Linked DNA regions of Sus scrofa. The protein of the gene in region 1 binds, or shares a complex with, the protein of each later gene. Links are inferred from orthologs where the notes say so. Each region holds a gene or a part of one and is shown on either strand. Other genes may lie near its edges.

What was found.
Region 2: the proteins of PLXNC1 (region 1) and SEMA7A are in contact, whole or in part, in a crystal structure (PDB 3NVQ), measured with the Homo sapiens proteins. The link is inferred for Sus scrofa from reciprocal best matches to the Homo sapiens genes PLXNC1 and SEMA7A. Residues at the interface, in NP_005752.1 of Homo sapiens: Arg131, Thr151, Glu152, Val153, Asn195, Pro196, Ala197, Ala198, Ser199, Asp200, His201, Thr203, Ala206, Lys208, Arg213, Ser214, Leu215, Ala216, Thr217, Gln218, Glu219, Leu220, Arg222, Lys224, Glu272, Ala350, Ser352, His353; in NP_003603.1 of Homo sapiens: Gln194, Tyr196, Asn197, Gly198, Lys199, Arg202, Arg204, Tyr213, Ser215, Asp216, Thr217, Gln270, Gly271, Gly272, Glu273, Ser274, Ser275, Leu276, Val278, Ser279, Lys280, Pro372, Thr375, Glu376, Phe378, Gln379, Asp382, Arg383.

Annotation. Positions count from the first base shown.
Region 1 is NC_010447.5:89,053,037-89,057,279, reverse strand, and holds the start of PLXNC1 (plexin-C1), read left to right. Parts: upstream 1-1,442; 5' UTR 1,443-1,554; coding exon 1,555-2,613; intron 2,614-4,243.
Region 2 is NC_010449.5:59,093,435-59,097,725, forward strand, and holds the start of SEMA7A (semaphorin-7A), read left to right. Parts: upstream 1-1,484; 5' UTR 1,485-1,536; coding exon 1,537-1,717; intron 1,718-4,291. UniProt on the Homo sapiens protein: Plays an important role in integrin-mediated signaling and functions both in regulating cell migration and immune responses.

The DNA.
Region 1 (4,243 bases):
AAGGAAAAAAATGGGAAAGGAGCAGAGGGGGGAACCTAGGGAAATAACAGTACCTGACTCTTAGGATTAGAAGGCTGGGCGGGGCGAGGTAGATGGGAACGTTTCACCTGGGGAAATTTTCAGTCCCCCCTGCTGAGAATCCTCTGCAGGTAAGACTGTAACGACCACAGGTGGCACTTGGCTAGAGGGAGCGGTGTCAGCGTGCCTGGAGCCAGATAGGAATTCGAATCTCAGTTCTGTTGTTTACCAGCGGTGGGACCCCCGGCAAGTTCCATCACCTCTGCATGATCATTCTGCTCACTACTAGATGGAGACGATGGTAACGAATGGGGTTATTACGGGTCGCAAATGAGGCTTAATCCATGTGGTGAATTTACAGCAGGACTCAGCACGCAGTAAGTGCTCGATAAATATTAGCCATGATCCTTCAGGCTAGATGATGAGTGGAACTTTCTAAGCGCTAGGTTTGAGAGCCTGGGACTCCGTTACCAAGGGAGATGAGAGACCCTTTTCAAATATGGGAGCTCCGGCCCCAGGGATTGTCCAGAACCAGAATCTTGGCGCCTGCCTTCCCTCCACGTCACTCCTCTGACTCGGGGAAACCCACCCCCTGTCACCGGGGGGGCCTCGGCCCCTTGAGCCTCCTGCTAGTCCACGTCTCCCGCGCTCCTCCCCAGGGCCTCCCTCCCGCCGCTCCACACCTGTCAGCCGCCCTCGCAGCTTCCCAGGGACCCGAGCCCCGGGCCTCAGCTGCAAGCCCTTGGCGCCCTGGGTCCTAGTTCCCCGAGCCTGGCGTATTCCTCCCCCGCTGCTCTCGTAAACAAAACCCAAGCGTTGGAGCAGCCCCGCGGCGGACAGGCGCAGGAGCCAGCTCGGTGCCCTGTGAGCGCGCCCCGGGAGCCCCGGGCGGGCGGAGGGGCGATGGTGGCGGCCGTGGCGGCCGCGGCAGGCGGCTCAGCTTTGTTATGAATAGATGAAAGAGGCCACCTACACAGTAACCCAAATTACGAGACCTCCCTCCTCCCTATCTCACCGAATCAAGAGGGGAGGGGAGATGGGCGTGGAGGGAGGGCGGGCGGCCAGAAGGCGGAGGGCGGAGGAGGAAGAGGATGAGGAAGGGGGCCAGTTGCATCCCACTTTCACAATGGGAAAGTGAAACGCTCAAGCGCACCCAACCTCTCCAGCCCTCCCCGGCTGTCTCGCTCCCCTCCGCCCGTCCCCTCCCTTCCCCTCCGCGCCTCCCCTCGAGCGCCAGCGCTGCACAGAGGAACTCTCCGGAGAAGGAGGGCGAGGAGGAAGCGGCGCCAGAGCGCGCAGGGCTTGCAGCCGCCGCCGCCGCCGCCGCTGCTGCTGCCACACAGGCTGCCGGAGCGAGCCCGCCGCGCGCCGCCCTCCCCGCTCCCTTTCCCCGGCGAGCCGCGGGGATGGGGCGGCCGCAGGAGCCCGAGCGCGCGCAGGAGCCGCCGCCGCCGCCGCCCGCGTCTCCGTCGCCGCGCGCCTGAGCCGCCGCGGTCGCCGCCGCGCGCCCTGCCCGGGGGCGGCCCCCCCAGCCCCATGGAGCTCTCCCGGAGGAAGGCATCACCGCGCCCCCCGCGCCGCGCCGCGCCGCTGCCCCTGCTAGCCTATCTGCTGGCGCTCGCGGCGCCCGGCCGGGGCGCGGACGAGCCCGTGTGGCGGTCGGAGCAAGCCATCGGAGCCATCGCGGCGAGCCGGGCGGACGGCGTGTTCGTGGCGAGCGGCAGCTGCCTGGACCAGCTGGACTACAGCCTGGAGCACCGGCTCTCGCGCCTGTACCGGGACCAAGCGGGGAACTGCACGGAGCCGGTCCCGCTGACGCCCCCCGCGCGGCCCCGGCCGGGGAGCAGCTTCAGCAAGCTGCTGCTGCCCTACCGCGAGGGGGCGGCCGGCCTCGGGGGGCTGCTGCTCACCGGCTGGACCTTCGACAGGGGCGCCTGCGAGGTGCGACCTCTGGGCAATCTTAGCCGCAGCTCCCTGCGCAACGGCACCGAGGTGGTGTCGTGTCACCCGCAGGGCTCGACGGCCGGCGTCGTGTACCGCGCGGGCCCGCAGAACCGCTGGTACCTGGCAGTGGCCGCCACCTACGTGCTGCCCGAGCCCGAGACGGCGAGCCGCTGCAACCCCGCAGCGTCCGACCGCGGAATGGCCATCGCGCTCAAGGACACGGAGGGGCGCAGCCTGGCCACGCAGGAGCTGGGACGCCTCAGGCTGCGCGAGGGCGGGGGCAGCCTGCACTTCGTGGACGCCTTCCTCTGGAACGGCAGCGTCTACTTCCCTTACTACCCCTACAACTACACGAGCGGCGCCGCCACCGGCTGGCCCAGCATGGCGCGCATCGCCAAAAGCAACGAGGTGCTGTTCCAGGGCCAGGCGGCCCTCGACTGCGGCCACGGCCACCCCGACGGCCGCCGCCTGCTGCTCTCCTCCAGCCTGGTGGAGGCCCTGGACGTCTGGGCGGGCGTGTTCAGCGCGGCCACCGGAGAGGGCCAGGAGAGGCGCTCCCCCGCCACCACGGCACTCTGCCTCTTCAGGATGCGTGAGATCCAGGCGCGCACCAGAACCTGCAGCTGGGACTTCCAGGCCGAGAACCACTGCGTAAGTCTTGCCTCTCCGCCCCCCTCCGTTCCCCGGCCGCGACGCTTCGGGGAGCGCCCGGGCAGCTGAGCCGCCGGCGAGGCAGAGAGGGAGGGAGAGGGTGGGCATTTCGCGGGGCTCTGATCTACACAGCCTGCGGGCAGCCCGACGGCCCTTCTCGCGTGGTCTCCGAGACCTCGGGTGGCTCTAAAGCAGAGGTCCCCAAAGATGGTGTCATGAAGGGAGGTGGAGAGGGTAGGAGTTCGGCTCTACAACTCTGCTGACTCCAGCCCACTGCCCTCCTTGTTCAAACGCTTGTTTGGGTCTGAGCCTCTCCAGGCAGCTCCCCCGCCCGTCCCTGATCGCTTCCTCAGGTGTGTGTGGTCTGTGTTAGTTGGCGTGTCGTTTGGACCCTTTTCCCCAACCTGGTTTCCAGACGCGGTGCCCTAGGCAGAGAAGCCATGGAACCTAAAGGACTTGCCACACCCCAGCCTTTGTGCCCCCCCCCCCCGAACACATGCAGTGTAGTCTCGGAGAGTTGGTAGCCTGCTCAACACGGGTCGGTGGAACCAGAGGCTCAGGCTGGGGGGAACCGAACCCTCGGCGAGACCCAGCGCGAGGGGGCGGGGCTGTGGCTCTGCCGAGGGCGCGCTGTGGTCTCTAGCTGGGGGGAGAGGCTGGGCAGGCGGAGGTGGCTTTGTGGGTAAAAAGCCTCACCCTGGAGGGGCGAGCAAGAGAAAGTGTTGGGGTGTTATCGTCTCCGGGCTCCAGATTGCCTGACTAGATCGCGGGGCTCAGAGGCACCACCCAGCCAGGCAAATGGCAAAGGTTTCCCCTGGGTTTCCAGGGAAGACACAGCTTGACTCTTGAGATTGGCGTCTCTTTGGAAAATAAAGCGGCCGTTCAAGAGGGTCCAGTTGATGGGGATTATGGAGCCATTGTGCACTTCTCCGAGGCCGTTTTCCTTCCAAGGCTGCTGGCACATCAACTCCACATATGGCTCCTGAGAGGAGAGCCTGCTGAGCGCCTCCTTTATAACTGGACAGAAATCCAAGAGCAGAAATTAACCGCTACAGGTGTTGCCATTGTTTTGGTATAAAATGCCTCAGAGAGGAAAGGGGGAGAGCCTCTACTTGGAAAAACGTGTTTTGTTGATGCAGTTGTTGTGTAAGCATAGATGCTTGCTCCAAGGTGTATTACTAAGTGCGTGGAAAAGCACTCCCCCCACCTCGTCCCCCTAGAGCACATCTGAGCAAACAGTAGCCCTGTCATCCGGAAAGAAAAGACAGGTCTTTCCCAAGACCCTTTAGAATGGCCATTGGCCTCTTCCTCCTCGCCCATCCGTTGTGTGCTGGGGCACACAGGTAATGCCCGCCTTTAGGTTACTGGTAGAATAATTTGAAAGCGTAAATAACATGTAATGCTCCCTAAATGACTTCATCTTGAGATACAAGTACAATTTAATATTTAACATCTGTCTTTGCAAGATCCTGACTAACAGTTTGAGTTTGGCAAAAAAAAAAAAAAAAAAAATCATCATCTTTGACTTCACTGGTGAAAGCTTTGGAAGTCCCCCCACCTATTACTGTGTGTCGAGCGTTAGGCAGACTTGGTCTCTGGGGTTAATGACAAGACAGCTCGGCGGCCCACA
Region 2 (4,291 bases), on another chromosome or scaffold:
CAGAGCCAGAGGCTTGGGTGTAGGCCTGAGGAGGGGCTCTTCACCTGTCCACAGCCTCCCTCCCTTTGGGGCAGTGTCCCTCTGGGCCTCATGAAGCTGTTGGCCCCATCCAGTGAGCCAGGAACTTAGTCCTGCATGATCTCTGGAGCCATCTTGATTTCGCCTTTTGGCCTGTTGGTGTATTTTGGTGACACTTAGGGAAGCAGGAGGGGATAGCTGGAAGCAAAATATGGAATGGTAAGGCAGAACTTCCTGATGATAACCTCTTCTTGGCCATGGAGCAGGGCAGAGGTTTGGAGCTGGAGCTGAGGCCAGGACAGGCTGCTCTCTGTCTCTGGTGGTGTCTGCAGCGTGTGACTCAAGTCCAGCTAGGTCTGTGGGTCTTGAAGGCTGCAGTGCACCTCTGCTACTTACTCCTCACCCTGTCTCTTCTCTGTGCAGTCCACCTGGGGGTAAGCATCCAGTAGGCACTGGATAAGTGGATTTTTTCATCCATGGTTACCTTGGGCAGATGCAGAGGTGGGTCTGGGACCTCTCTGGCTTGAGGGAGAGAAGACTCCTTTAGAAAGGCAGGCACATGGCTCTGAATAGGTGAGCTGAAAGCAGAGCTGCCTGGGCTGTTCAGGTGACTGTAGAGGGACTGGCCCGGACCCTATGCAGGGGGTCATGGTGGGGTCATCAGGCTGCCTGCATAGCTGAGCACTAACTATGCATCTTGTGGGCAGAGATCCCTTAAAGCTGGTCTGACTGACTCTGCCTTCCCAACAGTGAGTCCTGGGCACGCAGGATGCTCCCCTCTCTTTCTGCTTGGGGAAGGGGACTTCTTAATTATATCCCCCTCCACTCACATGGAAATGAGTTTGGATTTTCTGAGCACACACCAGCTGGCTGGGGGGGAGGCAGCCCAGAAGGCTGCTGGCTGGGGAAGGGAGGAGAAAGGCGGGGAGGGAGCCAGGCCAAGATGAAAATTCCGTGTTCTCACAGCTGAGCAAGGATGGGGCTCTGAGTGCTCCCTACAGATTATCGACCTTCTGCCCAAAACCCACACCCCCTCCTTAGGGGAAAGCGTCTTGTTCCTTCTTATAGGCTCAGAGGAGCCGTGTCCACTCAGGTCAGCCCATCCTCTGAGAACCACAGCCTTCAGAGTCCACTTAGCTGATCATTATCGAGGTTGTCTGTTCCCTCAGGAGAGGTCCTCTCTGACTTCTAGGCCAATCCCTTCCTGGGGTGGGGGGAGTAAATCTAAGGCCTTGAGAGGGGACAGGACCTGGCGCCGATCACAGGAGACCACAAGTCTGTCTTGCTCCCCTTCCCCCAGGTTATCCCCGTGGAGTTGCCCAGGAAAGGGGTGTCGAAGATTCCCCTGACAGCGGTCACTGCTTTACCCCTAAGCCAGCGGGTGGGGAAGTCGGAGAGGGACGGGGGAGGGGCGGGGTGGGGTCAGGCGTTTGACTCCGCCTCCTCTCGTTGGATCTGCCTGCGGTCGGGCGCTGGCTCAGTCTCGGCTGCTCTCCGCCGTTGCTCCGGGGCCGCGGGATGACACCGCCTCCGCCCGGATGCGCCGCCCTCGGCGCCCCGCGCGCCCGCGTTCCCAGTCCGCAGGCTCGGTCCGGGCTCCCGCTGCGGCTGCTGCTGCTGCTGCTGCTGCCGCTCTGGACGGCCGCCGCCTCTCAAGGCCACTCGAAGAGCGGACCCCGCATCTCTGCTGTCTGGAAAGGTAGGTGGCGCCGCGCTTGCAGCGCGGCTCGAGATCCGATGCCGCGCGGGGCGGGTGCGGAGTGTGCAGCACTGGAGAGAGTGCGTGCGCGCGGCTATGCAGGTCCTGGGCTGTCCCCGCGGATAGCGTGTGGGTCTGGGTGAATGTGTGAGTGTGCCCGCTGCCACGCCGGAGCGGGCTGTGACGCTGCGGCGAGCGAGCGGCAAGGGCTGGAGCCCCGGCTAAGTCACTCCAAGTCCGCCCGCAGCCGGGAGCCGCAGCGCGGGGGTGCAGGGGGGAGGGAGAGGGCCCTTCTCTCGGCCCCGAGGCGCTCTCAGTCCTCCAGCGCTGAGGCCTCTGTGCAGAATCCTTTCTCCTGCCGGGACCCCCACCCAGCTCCTCTCTTTCTGAGCTATGGGCTCCGCTGTCGCGCAGGGCGCAGGCTGGGCCGGCAAGGGGGGCGCGGACCCTTTGCCGCCGCCGCTGCGCTCCGGCTGCGGGAACAAAGACCCCGCTGCCTGCCCCTGCCCCCGCCCCGGCCCCAAGCGCGGGCCGGGTAAAGGGGTGGGTACCCTGTAGTGAGCCGGGACGTGGCTCCGTGCGGAGGCTTCAGGCACCCCGGCGCTGCCTCTGCAATGCTGGGACCCGCCGCTCCCCCCTTGTCCGCACGTGGCAGTTGTCACCAGGAATCCGAGCCAGCATGGGGGGCAGTGCCAGTTGGGTGGGGCGCGGCCACTGGGACCCCCAGGTAGGGGATCTGGCAAGGGGCTGCAGCTTTTAGGCCCTGGTGGATATGTGAACTTGGGGGACCGAAGTCTCCCCAGGGGCGCCTCAGTTTAGATCACTGTACAATGGGTCAAAAAGCTGGCTGGGTAGGTTTTGAGGTTTTGTGTTGCAAGGGACTGAAGTTCCCTGCATTGCACAAAAATGCTTCCCCACCCCCAGGACGACTATGCTCTGTCCCCAAATTTGGCAGGTGCTGCAGCCCCCCTGTGGTGGTGGTGGACTGGCAGTGGGGGTGGGAATGGTAGGTCTGGTCTCTCTGGGAGCCTTTTGATGCCTGAGGCGGTTTGCAGGGATTGCAGGAGCCTGAGCATTATCTGGGGCAGGTATTCTTAGCAGAGAGAGAGGGGGAAAAAAAACCCAAAAATGAGTGTCCTGAGCTGCGGCTGCAGCAGAGAGACTATGACTCGCCCAAGGTCACTCTGCATTGTGTGAGCTCACAGTGCAGACAGGGGGCTCTGATCTGGCACAGGACCGGTGCTTGTTCTGGGTTAGAAAGTGAAGAAAGATTTAAGCAGTATTTTGATCATGAAGAGGGTACTCTGAGGGCCAGCCCAGCTACCCAGCCAGAGCTGATCCTTGTGGTAGTGGAGCAGGGCAGTTGGACCTCTGGCGATGCACCTACTCATGGTGGTCACTTGCAGACCCCTCAGTTAGACCAGCTCCAGGCTGGGCTTCTTCTGCCTTCTTGGCATTTGCTTTTTCTTCTTCCTCTTGGTTGTCTTGGACAGCACAGCATTTGTGCACTCTGGAGGGGATGAATGGCCATGTCTAAATGTTCTGGAATCTGCCCCTGTGCCAAACCCCTTGCATTTGGCTCTGCTCACCCCCATCCCCCAAGTCTTCCCAAGATACCCCTCCACACACAGATACTTAATGCACACCCACCTCTTAGCACTTAATGCTGCCTCCCCAGCTCGGGCACTTAGTCCCCACCCTGAGGCTATTTAAAGCTGCTTTCTGTCCTGTTACCCACTTTCCAAAGGGCTCTTTCTCCTGCATGCAGTCACCATTGTAGCCACACTGGCTGTGCCCTCTGCTTGGTAATGCACTCTTGACCCCCACTGGGGTCTTCCAGTCCCTCACCTGTCTTGTCCAAGGGTGTCTGTAGTCTTCTTCACTGGTGCCAGGCACCCCACTGGCCAAAGAGACCCTGCCGTCCACCTGTTCCCCAGGACCACCAGCTGGTAATGGTATGCCTAGCTGACAGCTGCCTCTTATTTCCTTTGGGATGACACATGGCAGTCAGACAGGAATGGGTTTGAGCAAGGCAAACCCAGGAGTTGGATGAGAGGAGGACCCTCCCAGCCTTGCTGTAGGCTGGTCCCTGTATACCAGTGGGTTGAGGGGATGGGATAGTGGCCTCCAGGAATGTCTAGATCAAGGATAGTGGTGGTTCTGGAGATGATTCTCCTTGAGGCCCAGATTGGGGTTTTAGTTATAAGTCAGGACAGGTGCGAGGACGAGTGGATATGAGGGATCGTCTCTATTATTTTCGGCTGCTTGGACCCCCTAAGTCCTAGAGAAAGATTAGATAAAGGAGTTCTGAGAGGGTCCCAACCTGCCTGAGGAGGTTGATGCCTCTCCAGCCTGATGAAGGCCTGGCCCAGGGCAGCTCTGGTCAGAGGGAGGGGTGCCCTTGAGCTCTGTACTTGTCTCTGACCCTCAGAGCTTGCCAGGGCTCTAGAGGTTGTCCCCTCAGGGTTGTCACTGCCACATGGGCCAGTCACAGATGTGACTGTGTGAGCCTGACCTCCTTGCAGCAGGTGAGGGTGGGGGTTGACATGCTTATGTAAATTGTGTACCTCTCTT